4 linked regions of the Callithrix jacchus genome follow. The main gene of each other region encodes a partner of the protein of the gene in region 3 in a complex. Links are inferred from orthologs where the notes say so. Each region holds a gene or a part of one and is shown on either strand. Other genes may lie near its edges. The genes, in order: AKAP13, NOD2, MAPK14 and TAB1.

Region 1 (3,863 bases), on a different chromosome or scaffold from region 3:
TAGAAATTTCATATGTTCTAATTCATTTTGAACATCCTAATGTATAGGCAAAAATGAGAGAAGAAAGTAGTATCAGGAACGAGAGAACATTTGTATTCTCTTAGATCAGCTTATCATGTGACCTTCGAAGGGCTAGAATGGAAGTGAGTTATGTCCAACAGGATTTTTGCTCAGAGGTATCGGTGGCATCTTCTTCTATGGACAATTTTTTAAAAGTGTATTTCATTTCCTCCTAGAAAACAAACCTCAAGCAGATGGACAATCTTAAGCCCTTAATGGTGACAGCACAGGATTCTTCTGGTGCCCCACAGACAGATGGCCAGTTTCTTCCCTGTGCACCAGAGCCCATGGACAGTCAGCAACTTTCTTCTCCTGAAGAGACGGAGAGCTCTCAGTGCTGCCCAGGGAGCTCTGTTGCACAGACTGAAAGTCCCTGTGATTTGTCAAGCATAGTTGAGGAGGAGAATACAGACCGTTCCTGTAGGAAGAAAAATAAAGGCATGGAAAGAAAAGGGGAAGAGGTGGGGCCAGCACCTATTGTGGACTCTGGAACTGTGTCTGATCAAGACAGCTGCCTTCAGAGCTTGCCTGATTATGGAGTAAAGGGCACGAAACGCCGTTTGTCTTGTGGAAACAAAAACGAAGAAACTGGAACAAAATCTTCTGGAATGCCCACAGACGAGGAGTCCTTGAGCAGTGGAGATGCTGTGCTGCAAAGAGATGTGGTCATGGTGCCAGGCACAGCCCAGTATTCCTCTGCAGGTGAACTGGCAAGCATTTCAACAACAGATGTCGGTACCCCAGAGAGTGCAGGGGAAGCGGAACATGGGCTCATGAACCCAGATGCCACTGTCCAGAAGAATGTGCTTCAAGTAGGGGAGAGTACAAAGGATAATATGGGCACAGCTGGAGCCTCTGACATGCAAGTCACAAGTAAGCCTGTGGATAAAGTCAGTGTCCCAAACTGTGCCTCTGCCACCAGTTCCCTGGGTGGTAACAAACCTGCTGAATCCTCACTTGCATTTAGTAATGAGGAAACCTCCATTGAAAAAACAGCAGAAACGGAAACTTCACGAAGTTGTGAGGAGAGTGTTCATGCCCCAGTAGAACAGAATTCTGTGGTGCTTCCAGCTGCTGCAAAAGACAAGATTTCAGATGGGTTAGAACCTTGCACTGTCTTAGCAGGCATAGGTGAAGCAACGTCACCCTCAGATTTAGCCCTTCCCAGGCTGGAAGTAGATGTAATGCCACACCAGAACTCAGAAATAAATTCATCTCATGCTCAAAGCCAAAAGGGCAAATCTTCACCCATTTGTTCTACAACTGGAGATTATAAACTTTGCTCAAACTCCGCGTGTCAACAGAACACAGTGACTTCTAGTGGCGAGTTGGTTGCACAACTGTGTGATAATATAGTTAGCCAGCCCAAAAGCACCACAGCAAGGCAACCCAACTCACAAGATCCACCCAAGGCCACCCACTGTGAAGACCCACAGGCTAATACAATCACCTCTGACCCGGTAAGGGATACCCAGGAACGTGTGGATTTTTGTCCTTTCAAAGTGGTGGATAACGAAGGCCAAGGAAAAGATGTGAAATTCGATAAATCTTTAGCAAATATGCTTGAGGTGCCTTCACATCCACATCCAGTTGTCCCTAAAATGGAGAAAGAACTGGTGCCAGACCAGGCAGTAATATCAGACAGTACTTTCTTTCTGGCCAACAGTCCAGGCAGTGAATCAGTAACCAGGGATGACGCACTTTCTTTTGTCCCCTCCCAGAAAGAAAAGGGAACAGCAACTCCTGCGCTACATGAGGCTACAGATTGTAGAGATGGCCCAGACGGAGATGCGAATGATCCTGATACGCAGCCACTAGAAGACAGGGCAGCAGGCCTGTCCCCATGCTCCACTGTTGCAGAGCTTCAGCTCGTGATGGGGAATACCAGTCTCACCAGACTTGGTGGAGAACATGAGGGTCCCGCCCCTTCAGCAGCTCCGGAAGTTCTGAGTATCAAGGGGGACACAGACTCCTCCCTGCAAAATGCGGGTAAGGCCACTTTGGCTTTAGATTCAGTTTTGACTGAAGAAGGAAAAATTCTGGTGGTTTCAGAAAGCTCTGGAGCTCAGGAACAAGATAAGGATAAAGCAGTGACCTCTTCCTCCATTATGGAAAATGCTCTTTCTTCAGGAACATTGCAGGAGGAGCAGGGAACACCATCTCCTGAACAAGAGACTCCACGATTTCATGAAAAATCTATCTCAGCCGCCTCTGCCAAGGACGAAGCACTTCAGCTAAGCAATTCACCGGGTGCACCCTCTGCCTATCTTAAGGCAGAAACTGAACATAACAAGGAAGTGGCCCCACAAGTCTCACTGCTAACTCAAGGTTGGGCTTTCCAGAGCCTGGTGCTACCAGGAACAAGTCTGGGTACAAACTCAAGGCAGGAAGCCTTGGGTGCAGAGCAGAACAGCTCCACTCTGTTGCAGTGTCTGTTGCCAGATGGGTGTGATTGGTCTGAGGCTCTTAATTACAGTCAGCCTTCTCCTCTGGATGACGAAGTGAAGAACACTAAATGCCAGGGAAAACCTAATATTAGTTCCTGTGAGGTGAGTGGAAATGTGACCATGGATATTACAGGGTTTAATGATGTACAAGATACAGCTGAGCCCAGAAGAAAGAGTGTGTCACACAACACCCAAGACATCCTGATTCCAAACGTCTCGTCGAGCCAAGAGAAGAAGGTCATCCTGGGTTTGCCAGTAGCTTTACAAGACAAAGCTGTGACTGACCCACAGGGATTTGGAACCCCAGAGATGGTACCTCTTGATTGGGTGAAAGGGAAGCTGGAGGGAGCAGACCACAGCTGTAACACGGGCGACTCTGAGGAAGCCCGAATAGACAATGAAGCACATCCTGTCCTACTGCAGCCTGCTGCCAAGGAGCTCCCCACAAAAATGGGGCTCTCAGCCCATCATGATGGGACCCCAGCTGGCAAGAGGGAAGTTATGCGAGGCCCGCCTTCAGACAGGGGAAGGAGCACTCCCTCTCTACCTTGCTTGGTCTCTGCCCAAGCTGCACCTTTGCCTAAGGGAGTGGACTTGATAGAGGAGGCTGCCAGCCGTATAGTGGATGCCGTCATCCAAGGAGTCAAGGCCGCTGGAGCACTGCTTACTGAGGAGAAGGCCTGTCACGTGTCAGCGTCCAGCGCTGAGTTGGATCCTCTCACTGAAGGGCTAGAGAATGCTTCTACAGAAAAAGTGAGTGCTTTCTCGCCTGGGGAGAGCCTGCCAGTGGGCAGTACTCATGAGGAAGCCACGGGGAGCCTTGGAGGCTGTTTTGCTGGAGGGGAGGAGCCAGAGAAGATTATTCTACCTGTGCGAGGGCCTGAGGCAGCAACAGGTAAGCAAAACAGAATACAAAATTAACAGTCTGAGAAGCCGATTACCTTAAGAATCTCTGTGGTGTCCTGGTAAAAATACAGGCATCTAGGCCGGGCGCAGTGGCTCAAGCCTGTAATCCCAGCACTTTGGGAGGCCGAGGCGGGTGGATCACGAGGTTGGCAGATCGAGACCATCCTGGTCAACATGGTGAAACCCCGTCTCTACTAAAAATTACAAAAAATTGGCTGGGCACGGTGGCGTGTGCCTGTAATCCCAGCTACTCAGGAGGCTGAGGCAGGAGAATTGCCTGAGCCCGGGGGCGGAGGTTGCAGTGAGCCGAGATCGCACCATTGCACTCCAGCCTGGGTAACAAGAGCGAAACTCCGTCTCAAAAAAAAAAAAAAAAAAAAAAAAAGCATCTTTGTTGTCTTGATGTCTTATAGCCATTGGGTAGGTAGCCACATTAATAGTCACCACCAT
Region 2 (4,561 bases), on a different chromosome or scaffold from region 3:
CTAGCTTCAGTTTTTCCTGCTTCCATTTAAATTGAGAAAGCGAGAGAAAAAATAGACGTTCACTTATTACCCGTTTCCTAAAAATTGTCCTTAACATCCTTCCTTTACCGCTTTATCACCTGGTGGGGCCTCCCTTCTTCAGACAAAATCTAACAGTCTATCTGCACCACCTTCTGCTCTCTCCTTCAGTTACTACAACTTCAAAGACACCATTGTCCTCCCCAAGGTGAGGGCCATTTAGAGAAAGGGGCACTTCCTTGCTGAAAGAGAGGGTCAAGGGGTGACCCGCATGGGCTCTCCCCAAACCCCAGGCCCAGGCCTGAGCCCAGACACCTCCTTCCTTCCTGAGACCTTAGCCAGCCTGGTTTTTCTGGGGCCAAGAGCAAATGCTTGGCTTAAGTGCTGAAATCTCAGCCCACTGACCCCTTGCAGACAGAAAAGGAGGGGAAACTCAAGGAAGCTCAACTTCCCAAGCCTTCTGGGACTCTGCTGGGGCCAAGCCCCACACCCTCCCACAGCCATCCTCCATTCTCCCTCCCCAGCACTGAGCTTCTCTCCTTAAAAGACCAGTTCCCCCACCAGTGAACAATGCACTCTAATCCTCCATTGTAAAAGTAAGGCCCTCTCTTGACGCCCCTCTTCTTCATTTGGCTCCAATCCCATTTCTCTGCCTCCTTTATAGCAGGCCCCCTTGTCTGTGCCTGCACTGCTGTCCCCAAATCCTCCCATCCCTTCTCATCCCCCAAGTTCCCCATCCAGCTCCAGTCAGACTGTTTTGATCATGGTCACCAGTGACCTCCCATTGCTCAATCCTAAGCCCTCAGCCTGCTTGCTCTGCCAGGGGCATTGGTCATAATTGCTCCACCAGGGGCATTGGTCATAATTGCTCCCTCCTTCCCCCTTGGGGCACCCCAACTCTCTCATTTTCACTCTTTCTGTCTTCCTGGCTGGTTCCTAACACCGGGGGCCCCAGCGCTCAATGGCTGGACCCCTTCTCTTCTCCATAGTGCTCCCTTCCTAGATGAAGCCACCTGCTCTTGCGGCTTTAAATACCAGCTATAGGGTGACGATGCCCACAGTTTCATTTCCAACTCCAACCTCCGCCCTTAACTTTTCCCAACTGCTTAATCATCGTTGGTGCCTAATGGACAGCTCACACGACAAGCACAAAACCAAACTCCTGATCTCCCCCGTCGCAACTCCCATTGCAGTTCACGGCAGCTTCAAACCTCCAGAAGCTTGAGCCAAAAACTCAGAATCATCCTTGATTCTACCTTTCTCTTGCACCCCAAATCCTATTGACATAGCCTTTGAAATATATCCCAAATCTGAAGGTCTGGGGTTTTTTTCTATTTTTTTTAACCACCTGTGGGCCATGGTGTAAGCCACTTTGGTCTCTCCCCGGAACAATGTACTGATCCTCTCACCAGGCTCTCCTTTTGCCCTTAGTCCACCCATCACTATCCATTCTCCACCCCACAGCTGGATGGGCCTGCCAGACCCCAAGTCAGAGCAGGTGACTTCTCAGCTCCAAACCAGGGCTCCCACCGCGCTCAGAGTAAAAGCCAAAGCCCCCCCACCCGCCCGCACAGATACTCACAAGGCTCGCCCTTGCCTCCTGATGACTGCCCAGCTGTCGTGGTCTTGGGGAAGCCTTCCCTAACTGTGCTATATACAATGCAATACCCAGCCCCAGCACCCCATCCTGCTTCCCCGCTTTGTTTTACTCGTAGCACTTCCCACTGCCTGCCATGCCACAGATTTACCTCTTTCATTGCTGTCCATTCCTTTCCAGAATGTGCACTCCATGAGGGCAGGGAGTTTAATCTGATTTCCCCATTGCTCAGTCTCACATCTCATTCAGTGCATGAATGATGACTGCTGGAATGGGTGAAAGAATGGATGTGCTCTGCATGGCTCCAGGAGACAGATGTGGAACCAAGTGCAAAATCTGTAAGCCACAGATTTTAGGTAAAGGAAACAAGAGCCGTAAGACACTGAAAAGCCACCTCATCAGTAATAAGCTCCCCACCACCAGGCATGTGTTGCAGAGGGCTTCTGAACTGGGTTGGAGGGAGGTGGGCTGGATGAGGATGCTTCCAGCCTTGATCCCAGGGTGCAGAGAGGCAGAGGGACCTTGCGAGGCCAAATTCAAGGGCTGCAGCAACCCCATGGCTGAGTGATTGGGACAGGCAAGTACAGGCAGTGAGGATGTCACTCTGGTCTTCTTCACTAAGGGGTTGGGGAGGGTGACAGGGCAGGCGATCCCCCTCTGTAGAACAAGGACCTTGGAGGAGGCCAAGTCACAGCCCATGGGAAAACCAAGGCCATGGCAAGAAGCCCAAGGGCTCAGAAAAAGCAAACTTGGAAGCGGGGGTCCAGCCTCCAACCCTCATGCAGCTTCAGGAGGCCCTCCGCAGGGCTATTGGGTGGAGGGCTTTTCAGTTCATTGGAATGTAAGCAGGACCAGACAGCTGCTCCGTCAACTTGAGAAGCAGAGAGCAAACAGCCGGGGGATGTGGCCACACAGGTCCTGGTGTGGGCTATCTGGGGAGGGATGGATTTGAACTTAGATCTCACACCCACCAAGGGAGAAGGAGGAGGCAGGAGATTCCCCTAAGAAGTGCAGACAGCAGCAGTAGGATCCTCCGGGCAGACCCTCTCACACCACTCACTGGCATGGTGAAGATGAGGAAACTGAGTCCCACAGAGAGGAAAGAACTCAAAAGAATGGCGCCCTCAGAGACCTGAAGCCCGGGCTCCTCAGGACTTTCCACTCCTGCCAGGAGCCTCCCCAACCTGGAGATGTCCCCTTTCCTTCTCATGTCCCATCTACACCCGGGACTCCCCCAGGAGAAACCGAGGCAACCCTTCTCCAAGCCCTGCAGCCAAGACTGCTAGACTGCTCGGACGGACGCCAAGTGTTCGAGTCCTGGGGGCGGCACCATGGACACCCACAGTCTTCCCGCAGCCCACCCCCAGGCGCTAGGCACAGGCCTCGCGCCAGGAAACAGCACTCACCGCGAGCCGCCGGCGCCCGGACTCCCAGGCCTGCTGTGGGCCACGACTCCGGGCTCCACCTCCGGCTTGGGCTGCGCCTCCGTCTGCGCGGGCGTTCGGCTCCACCCCCGCCTGGACCCCGCCCCTGCTCTGCCCGGACGGCCGCACCCGCTCCAGTCCCAGGCCACGCAGCCCCGAGAGCGCCCACTCCAGGGCTGGCGAGGCTCACAGGGGACAGGGAGGGAGGGCGCAGGAAAGGGGCCGGGCCTGTCTGCGGGGCTGGACGGTCCTGGCTGGGTGCCCTGGTCAGCAGGCCTCCCTTTCTGGGCCTCATTTCAACCAGGAGGGAACCGGACAGTCCTCAGAACAACCCGCTTCCCAACACACACACCACGCACACACTGCTTCCCAACACACATATACACACACACCGCTTCCAACACACACACACACACACACCCCGCTTCCCAACACACACACACACACACACCCCGCTTCCCAACACACACCACACACACACTGCTTCCCAACACACACACCACGCACACACTGCTTCCAACACACACACACACACACACTGCTTCCCAACACACATATACACACACACCGCTTCCAACACACACACACACACACACCCCGCTTCCCAACACACACACACACACACACACCCCGCTTCCCAACACACACCACACACACACTGCTTCCCAACACACACACCACGCACACACTGCTTCCCAACACACACACCATGCACACACTGCTTCCCAACACACATATACACACACACCGCTTCCAACACACACACACACACACACACCCCACTTCCCAACACACACCACACACACACTGCTTCCCAACACACACCACACACACACTGCTTCCCAACACACATATACACACACACCGCTTCCAACACACACACACACACACCCCGCTTCCCAACACACACACACACACACACCCCGCTTCCCAACACACACCACACACACACTGCTTCCCAACACACACACCACGCACACACTGCTTCCCAACACACACACCATGCACACACTGCTTCCCAACACACATATACACACACACCGCTTCCAACACACACACACACACACACACCCCACTTCCCAACACACACCACACACACACTGCTTCCCAACACACACCACACACACACTGCTTCCCAACACACATATACACACACACCGCTTCCAACACACACACACACACACACACCCCACTTCCCAACACACACCACACACACACTGCTTCCCAACACACACACCACGCACACACTGCTTCCCAACACACACACCACACACACACTGCTTCCCAACACACACCACACACACACTGCTTCCCAACACACACCACACACACACTGCTTCCCAACACACATATACACACACACCGCTTCCAACACACACACACACACACCGCTTCCCAGCACACACCACACACACACTGCTTCCCAACACACATATACACACACACCGCTTCCAACACACACACACACACACCCCACTTCCCAACACACACCACACACACACTGCTTCCCAACACACACACC
Region 3 (3,863 bases):
ACATTGCTTTGAAAACTTTTTAACACTAGTCTGCCAAGGGACCCATCCTTTCCTACCTGTCAAAACAAACAAACAAAAGACCATTAATGATTCATAGGTAGACAATACAGTGGGAGGTGTAGGGGTAATGTTTTGCAAAGGTCATTACTGAAGATGATGGCTAACATTTACTGGCAGGCTTGTCTCAGTACTTTCCAGTTATTTTTTTTTTTTTTTTTGAGGCGGAGTTTCGCTCTTGTTACCCAGGCTGGAGTGCAATGGCGCGATCTCGGCTCACCACGCCACCATGCCCAGCTAATTTTTTGTATTTTTAGTAGAGACGGGGTTTCACCATGTTGACCAGGATGGTCTCGATCTCTTGACCTCGTGATCCACCCACCTCGGCCTCCCAAAGTGCTGGGATTACAGGCGTGAGCCACCGCGCCCGGCTACTTTCCAGTTATTATCTGGCTGAATTCTTACAACAACCTTGTGAGTACGTATGATTATTATCATTTTATGGTTAAGGAAACTGAGAGGCACAGAGGTTAGAAAACTTGCTCAAAGTTACATAGCTGGAAATAAAAGAGCTAAGATCTAAACCCAGGAAGTCTGGCTCCAGAGCATGTGCTTAACCTGTATGCTATACAGTCTTTCTCCCTTTGCCACCTTCTGTGTCTACACAGGCATGGAGGTCTGTGACTGACTGAATGGGTAGCTGGAGATACAGACACAAAAAAAGGAAAGGGAGGAGGGAACAGGGAATAGCATCAGGATAGCAGCTATTCCAGAGGACAAACCAAGGATAGGACTCTGAGATAAGTACCTGAGGAAAGGGGGAAGTATAAATTTTCCCTAATTCTCTTACCTTGGAGTGTAATATGTGTGTGTGTGTGTGTGTGTGTGTGTGTGTGTGTGTACATACACATATATATATACACGCACACACACATATATATATATATATACACACATATATATATGCACACACATACATACCAAATTTCCAAGAAACAGATATAAGGTGAAGGAAGCAAAGGACAAAGGAGAAATACCAGGTATTAAACTAACTTAAAATCCAGAGGTAGGGAGTAATAAGGTAAGCTAAGTACAGGGAGCCTGAAGTACAGGGAGTCTGTATCAATCCAGTAACATTCAGAGAGAAAGAAACAGCTTTACCTAAGAAATAGAGGTTTTTTTCAGTTCATAATGAAAGTACATTCTCTGTGGCAGAAGACAGAACACAGGGGTAGGTATCATGGACATCATAGTCATTATAGAAGTATATCCCAAACTGTGAGCAAAGTGAACTGACATTCTGGTTTATAAACTCATCCATTTATTTAGGTAAGGGACTAAAATGGCTTTTACATCTCTAGGCATAATAGATCGGAAGTAATTGTAGCATATCTAACAGCCCAACCAAAACCACTTGAAGGCTAGTTAACTCAATTATATTTAAAAAAAAAATCCCCAAAACTAATTCTAGACATATGTTTTAACATTCTTTCTTACCTAAACATCTTCCATAAGTAGAACTGATGAGAGTTCCAATAAATCACATTTTCATGACATTATTACTAAACCATGAAACAAGCATACTGCAGATAGAAAAGGAGCTAAAATAAAGGGGCTATATAATAAACCATAAACTAGACGGTAAGTCTGGGAGTAAATTAATTGGTTTGGCTGCCATCTGAGATAAAGTTGTGCTGGGAAAAAAAAAAAGCACATGACAGGGTAACCTTGTCACTTCTTGCTTTTACTATTTGTTGTCAAAAAACAAACATAACAAATAAACAATATATCATTGCAGGTACCAAACATAGCCTTTTTGATACATAAAACAAACATAATAGCAAGACACCCTTTAATTATAAATGGGTATCTTGTACTCATTAAGTGTTTATACAAGTAAACTAAACCTGTCATTGGGATCCAGAGCTTTTCATGAGTATGCTCAGGTCTCAGAACCACTGTGGGATGATTAATAAGGGTTTGTTGCAAAAAGATGACAGATTTGAAGGGTTTTTCAGCTTAGGAGGAATTTTTTCCAACTCATGAAAGTAAACTGAAGCCTCTTTCTTGGCAGGGCAAGCTACTCAGTAAGAAGGGAGACCTCATAACATATTATCTGGACTATAAAAGCAAAAAACTGAGAGCCTTCCCTAGAGATAAGTAAAAGGAGTATACATCCATGGACACCAGAATACAAATAAGAAACAAGAATCCAAAACTTTTTAAAGGATACGGTCTGTGCCAGGAAACAATGTTCTTCCAGTCAACAGCTCGGCCATTATGCATCCCACTGACCAAATATCAACTGGCAATATTAAAGAGAAATAAAAGTACATGTGATGTCACTGTTATTATACTTGGCAACAAATAAAACCATAACTAGGAGTGAAATACTCAAATTACTATTTAAAACCTCTGAGCCTCAACAATCATTCTCATTTTTACAGAAATAAATGAGCTTGATCTTTACCCCACTAAAGGGCTGTTCAAAGGTGGGGTAAGTCAAAACATACTTAAGAGAAATAAAAAAAAAAAAAAAAAGGAGAAATAAGCTGTTCAAAAAAGGAGCAAAAGAATGGTAGATTCTTCCAAGTAATATTGAGGGGTTAAAATTATGGACTCTTTGTCTTCAGGTATAAATACTCAGAGAATAAATTCAAAATCTAAATAAATAAAAACCCAGTTGCTAAATCACGAGCTTTAAAAGCTGTATATAAAACCCCAATTCCCCATCTGAGCAAGTGAAATGTTTTCACCTGTAGGCTTTAAAAGGATCACTGAGGAAAGAAAAGATATTTCTCTCCCCTCCCATAATCTCTACTTCTGAGAATCCCAAATGCATCCAACATAGAATTAAATAAGGCCCTAAATAACCAGTGCAAGTAATACCTGTCTGGTTGTAATGCATCCAGTTCAGCATGATCTCAGGAGCCCTATACCACCTAGTGGCCACGTAGCCTGTCATTTCATCATCTGTGTGCCGAGCCAGTCCAAAATCCAGGATCTAAAGGGCAGAAGAGGAACAGACAAACTGTTAAGACTTATAAACAGGCAGGGGAAAACAACAACAACAACAACTCTGTTGCCTTTTTAAAAAGGAAAACAAGATAGCACTTTTATAAAGAGATTTCCTGGTCCATGCTTAGAGTGCATGGTAAACTTACAGTGAAAACTCAAAAAACTGAATTACAAAAAGCAAAACAAAAATGTCACTCCTTGGTATTTAATCAAGCGCAATGAGAACTTATGGCCATACAAAGGTTTGCACATGAATATTCACAGTTGCTTTACATAGCCTCATAGTCAAACTAAAGCAAATGTCCATCAGCAGGTGGACAGATTTAAAAATCCTGACATGTTCATAAAACAAAATACTATTAGCAATAAAAAGGAAAAAAACATTGACACAACAATACAGAATCATTACACTAAGCAAAGGCTAGATACACAAAAATACACACTATATGATTCCATGTACATGAAACTCCAGAAAAGATAAAACGAATCATAGTGTTAGAAGCAGATCCATAGTTGCTTTGAGCGAGAATTAGGGGTGGAAGGGTGGGGATTGACTAGGAAGGAGCACAACAGACTTTTTAAAGTAACAGAAATGTTCTTGGCCAGGAGCGGTGACTTATGCCTGCAATCCCAGCACTTTGGGAGGCCAAGGAGGGTGGATCACAAGGTCAGGAGATGGAGACCATCCTGGCCAACATGGTGAAACCCTGTCTCTACTAAAAATACAAAATTAGCTAGGCGTGGTGGCATGCCCCTGTAGTCCCAGCTACTCGGGAAGCTGAGGCAGGAGAATCACTTGAACTCGGTAGGTGGAGGTTGCCGTGAGCTGAGATCAAACCACTGCACTT
Region 4 (3,863 bases), on a different chromosome or scaffold from region 3:
CCGAAATTTCCCTCTCCAATGTCTTGAGTCTCTCCAGGATCTTCTGATACTGAGGAGGCAGCTGGTGCTGAGGGACCCCCTACAACCGTCAACAGAGGGGTCAGGGCAGGAAAGAACCATCTGGACCATCTTCCCAGCCCTCTCCCTCCCTTTGCTCTTAAGGGCAAAGATCTGAGGGCCTGGAGGACAGATAGACAGACAGTCCATGGCACAGCCAGGATGAAGCCAGCGCTGCAACTCCATCCAGGGAAAGTTCTTCCAGGAAAGCCGGAGATGACCTGACTCACAGCACAGAGGTCAGCGCTACAGATGCCAGTGGGCGGGCGATGTGAGCAGGTGGGTGACAAGGGTGGGGACCCATTCAGGTCAAAGGACTGCGAAAAGCTTTCCTCATGCCCACCACTGCCCAGCCAATGCTGAGCTTTAGTGTGCAGCTGCCCATAGCAGGGTGGTAAGGTCCCTCACCTGTGGCCACCCACCAGTGTTCCCCATGAGAAACTGCTCCCTAACTCCTGCTGCTCTGGCCCAGTAATGTCAAGACAAAGTAGCTAAGTCCATGCTTCTTGCAAAGCTGGGCCTGGACTTGACTCCCCTGGGTGTGGGCTGGGGAAATTACCTCTGGCAGTTGCGACTGGAGGCTTGCCTTCTCAGCCAAGGCATCGTCAATGGACTCCAGGAAGCTCCTCTCTACCACATCGAAGGCCTGGAGGGACACAGGACAGGGCAAAGACTGGTTCAAAACACCACTGTCACTGGTGCTAAAATGCCCCCTATGAAGAACAGCAACAGCTTCACTGTATTCACTGCAGGTCCTCCTGTGATGGGGCTTTCCGCATGTCGGTTTTGCCTCCAGCCCGGCACTGCAAGGCACTGGCTGCTTCTTGCAGATCCGTGTCTTTGACAAAGCCCTTCAGCCCCATAGGGGTGCGTAGCCAACAGAGGCGGCACTCAGAGGGCTTGGAGGCAGCAGACAGTGCGGAGGCTAAGAGCAAAGGCTTGGAGTAGGCCCAGCTGGTGTGACCTCTGGACACCTCAGTCTCACACAACAGAGGTTAAGTGTTGTTCCGAGGGTAAGTCCAGCCTGGCACTCAGCATGGCACCTGCTCAGAGAAACTGCCAGGACTATGACAGCTCCCATGATTACTACGACTTCTTCCTGGGAGGCTTCTGTCAAACTCTGCTGGCCCTGGGACACTGGTGACACTGACAACTCCCCCTGGGTGTGAGATCTGCTGACAATCACTGGCCATGGAGCCTGAGGCCATGAAGGGGAGGAAAAGGCTGGCACCACTGTTCTCTGGGAACAGAAGCCCATCTTCTCATCTAAAATGGGCCTGAGACATGCTCCTGAAAGGAGATGCCAGGAGGAAAATTCCCAACAGTGCAAGCAGAAAGGTGGAACCAGCGAATGATGGCAGCACCCCATCAAAAAGGGGAGGCAAGGTCTTCCCTGAATGCCCAGATATGCTTCCTGCACCTGGAGGCTGAGCACCTGGCTACATGAGAAAGAAATGGGTAGCTCCGAATGACCCCATTCCGACCAGGCCTTGCCCTGCTCCTACTTGACACCTCTCTCCATGCTCACATCCCTAAATCCCCCCGTCTCCAGCAGTACCTCCCCTGTCAGCTCTGCTAGCCACTGAAGGCCTGCTGCTTGCTGGCTGGTCCTGGACTCCTAGAGAAGGGGCCCCTATGCCGGGAGCTGCTTCTCTATCACGGTGAAGGGGCCGGCAGGATCTTTACACCAACCCTGGCAACGTGCTAGACGTGCAGGGCCCAGGCCCTGGGGGTGGGGGACACGATGGAGCCAGGTTACTGCCAGCCCCAGCACCATTACCTGCAGCAGCACGCGCCGCACGTCGGCCTCAGCATGCTCAACATTCAGCTGGCCCAGGAGGAGCTCCGCGGACAGCCGCTGGGCCACGAAGTTGGTCACCCGGTTGCCATCGTAGCCGTTGAAGACCCCATACAGGAAGCAGTTGTTCTCACTCCTGGCAGTGGGAGAGGGCAGAGGGAGGACTAAGACCAGGGTCTCACACGGAGGTGGAAGGAGAAAGGGAAAGGAATTGGGGGAGGCTAAAGCTACAGCGGCTGCAGCTTCAGGCACCGACCTGGGTCCCCCTGCTTTGGGCATCATTTCACTCTGGTGGCTATGACCTTCTGGGATACCCTCCTCCCCATGCTCACACTACCCCATCAGAGGAAACCCTTGGCTGGTCTAAAGTCCAGCAGTATAAAGGGCAGCAGCAGAGGCCACCTCCCACAGGCCACATCTCACTGGCAAGCTCATATGAGAAAGCTGCAAAGTCAATGTCTTTCCTTGCAAACTCACCAACTCCCTGGGTCCAGGACCAAAATGCTGGCACACACACCTGAACTTGAGCCAGCTGTCCTCTGGCGGGTGGCTCTCAGTGCCCTTGCCATCAGCAGAGTAGCTTCGGTTGGAGGCTGAGCCAACCCCAGAGAGGTGGCAGAGCGGAAGGTCGTCTGTCCAGCTTGGCTGCTGCTCCTGGGGAAGGACACCAGGAAGCCGTGAGGCACCACTGCTTCTGCAGCGTAGATCCCACTTCATCTTTTTCTTCTGCAACAAAAACCTAGCAGGCCGGCAGCCCTACACAGAGGGTTCCACTTCCCTTGGGAAAACAAAGATGTTTGTATGAACAGACACCTGCAGAAGGGTTTGCTGTTTTTATGGCTAGTCTACAAACTAGTTCCCCAGGAAAACGGAAAGACTCCAGCATTCCAAAGGCAAGGTGCAGCAATGGCCTCCAGGAGTGAGCTGTTATGAAACCTAGTGAAACACATACAAAGGTCTCAAACTCTTGACAGGAAACTCTTTGGGGCCTGCACCTCTTACTGCACTGGCTCCAAATGCACACTGCAAAGGAATCCCTTGGGCACTGGTTGAAACTGCAGGCTGCAGGCCCCACCCTCAGAATGACTGATCTGGGCAGGACCCAGGACATCTGAAGTACAGGCCGCTCCCCACGAGTGATGCTTTCAGGTGACCTAAGACTCACCCTAGAGAAACTCTGACTTGTCACTCTCTCTGACACTGGGGCCTCCAAGTGCCAGGGAGAGTGACTGAGACTGGCTTATAAGTCGGAGTTTATGAGCTAGTTTGTAAGACATCCTCAGGCCACCCCGACATCCCCTCCCATCTCCCCTGCCACATCCTTCTCCCCCAGTCCCAAATGCCTGCAGGCCTGTCCATCCCCTGCTCTTTGCCTCCACGTGAACACCCTCCTCCTTGCCTCACAATTCTCCAGGTCCTTCGGGACTCTCTGGCTCAGGAGTCACCACCTCCAGGTGGTCTTCCTTCAGGATGACCCTCCCCAGGACTGGCTGATGGCCCTCTCATGTACCCCGACTGTACCCTGATTACAGCACCCTAGTCTGTTTGCAACACCCACTCCACCGTAGAGGATCTCAAACCAGGCTGTTCAGCATAATCAATGCACAGCTTTAAACACACTCACAGGGTCCAGGCCCCGACCCCGGCCCAAACACAAATGCTGAATTTCCCAATCTCCCTACGGTACACCCTGAGCATCTGTATTTTTTTAAGGCCCAGGAACAACTTTGATGCAAGGCCCAGGTGCCATTTCTTGCCCTAGATCTGGCCTCCCACCTGAGAAGTGTGCCCTGTTTACAAGGGCACTCCCAAGACCATCATGCGGAACTAGAGCAAACTGGAATAACTGGGAGAACCACAGCAATTTCAAGGAAGATAAAATTTGTATTGGCTGGGTGCAGTGGCTCACACCTGCAACCCCGGCACTTTGGGAAGCTGAGGAGGGGAGACCATTTGGTGTCAGGAATTTGAGACCAGCCTGGCCAACTTGGTGAAATCCCATCTGTCT

What was found.
Region 1: MAPK14 (region 3) and AKAP13 share a complex: the UniProt entries of both Homo sapiens proteins name them as parts of the signaling complex. The link is inferred for Callithrix jacchus from reciprocal best matches to the Homo sapiens genes MAPK14 and AKAP13.
Region 2: MAPK14 (region 3) and NOD2 share a complex: the UniProt entries of both Homo sapiens proteins name them as parts of the signaling complex. The link is inferred for Callithrix jacchus from reciprocal best matches to the Homo sapiens genes MAPK14 and NOD2.
Region 4: the proteins of MAPK14 (region 3) and TAB1 are in contact, whole or in part, in a crystal structure (PDB 4LOP), measured with the Mus musculus proteins. The link is inferred for Callithrix jacchus from reciprocal best matches to the Homo sapiens genes MAPK14 and TAB1. Residues at the interface, in NP_036081.1 of Mus musculus: Gly110, Ala111, Asn115, Ile116, Cys119, Gln120, Lys121, Leu122, Thr123, Asp124, Asp125, His126, Phe129, Val158, Asn159, Glu160, Asp161, Cys162, Leu217, Thr218, Gly219, Arg220, Thr221, Leu222, Asn272, Val273, Phe274, Ile275, Gly276, Ala277; in NP_079885.2 of Mus musculus: Val385, Tyr386, Pro387, Val388, Ser389, Val390, Pro391, Tyr392, Leu405, Ser406, Leu407, Val408, Met409, Pro410.

Annotation. Positions count from the first base shown.
Region 1 is NC_133507.1:29,704,306-29,708,168, forward strand, and holds part of AKAP13 (A-kinase anchor protein 13), read left to right. Parts: intron 1-236; coding exon 237-3,402; intron 3,403-3,863. UniProt on the Homo sapiens protein: Scaffold protein that plays an important role in assembling signaling complexes downstream of several types of G protein-coupled receptors.
Region 2 is NC_133521.1:8,618,280-8,622,840, reverse strand, and holds the start of NOD2 (nucleotide-binding oligomerization domain-containing protein 2), read right to left. Parts: upstream 3,085-4,561; 5' UTR 3,022-3,084; intron 1-3,021. UniProt on the Homo sapiens protein: Pattern recognition receptor (PRR) that detects bacterial peptidoglycan fragments and other danger signals and plays an important role in gastrointestinal immunity.
Region 3 is NC_133505.1:44,389,537-44,393,399, reverse strand, and holds part of MAPK14 (mitogen-activated protein kinase 14), read right to left. Parts: intron 3,002-3,863; coding exon 2,887-3,001; intron 2,303-2,886; coding exon 2,231-2,302; intron 1-2,230. UniProt on the Homo sapiens protein: Serine/threonine kinase which acts as an essential component of the MAP kinase signal transduction pathway.
Region 4 is NC_133502.1:210,212,593-210,216,455, reverse strand, and holds part of TAB1 (TGF-beta-activated kinase 1 and MAP3K7-binding protein 1), read right to left. Parts: intron 2,510-3,863; coding exon 2,373-2,509; intron 1,992-2,372; coding exon 1,838-1,991; intron 704-1,837; coding exon 617-703; intron 80-616; coding exon 1-79. UniProt on the Homo sapiens protein: Key adapter protein that plays an essential role in JNK and NF-kappa-B activation and proinflammatory cytokines production in response to stimulation with TLRs and cytokines.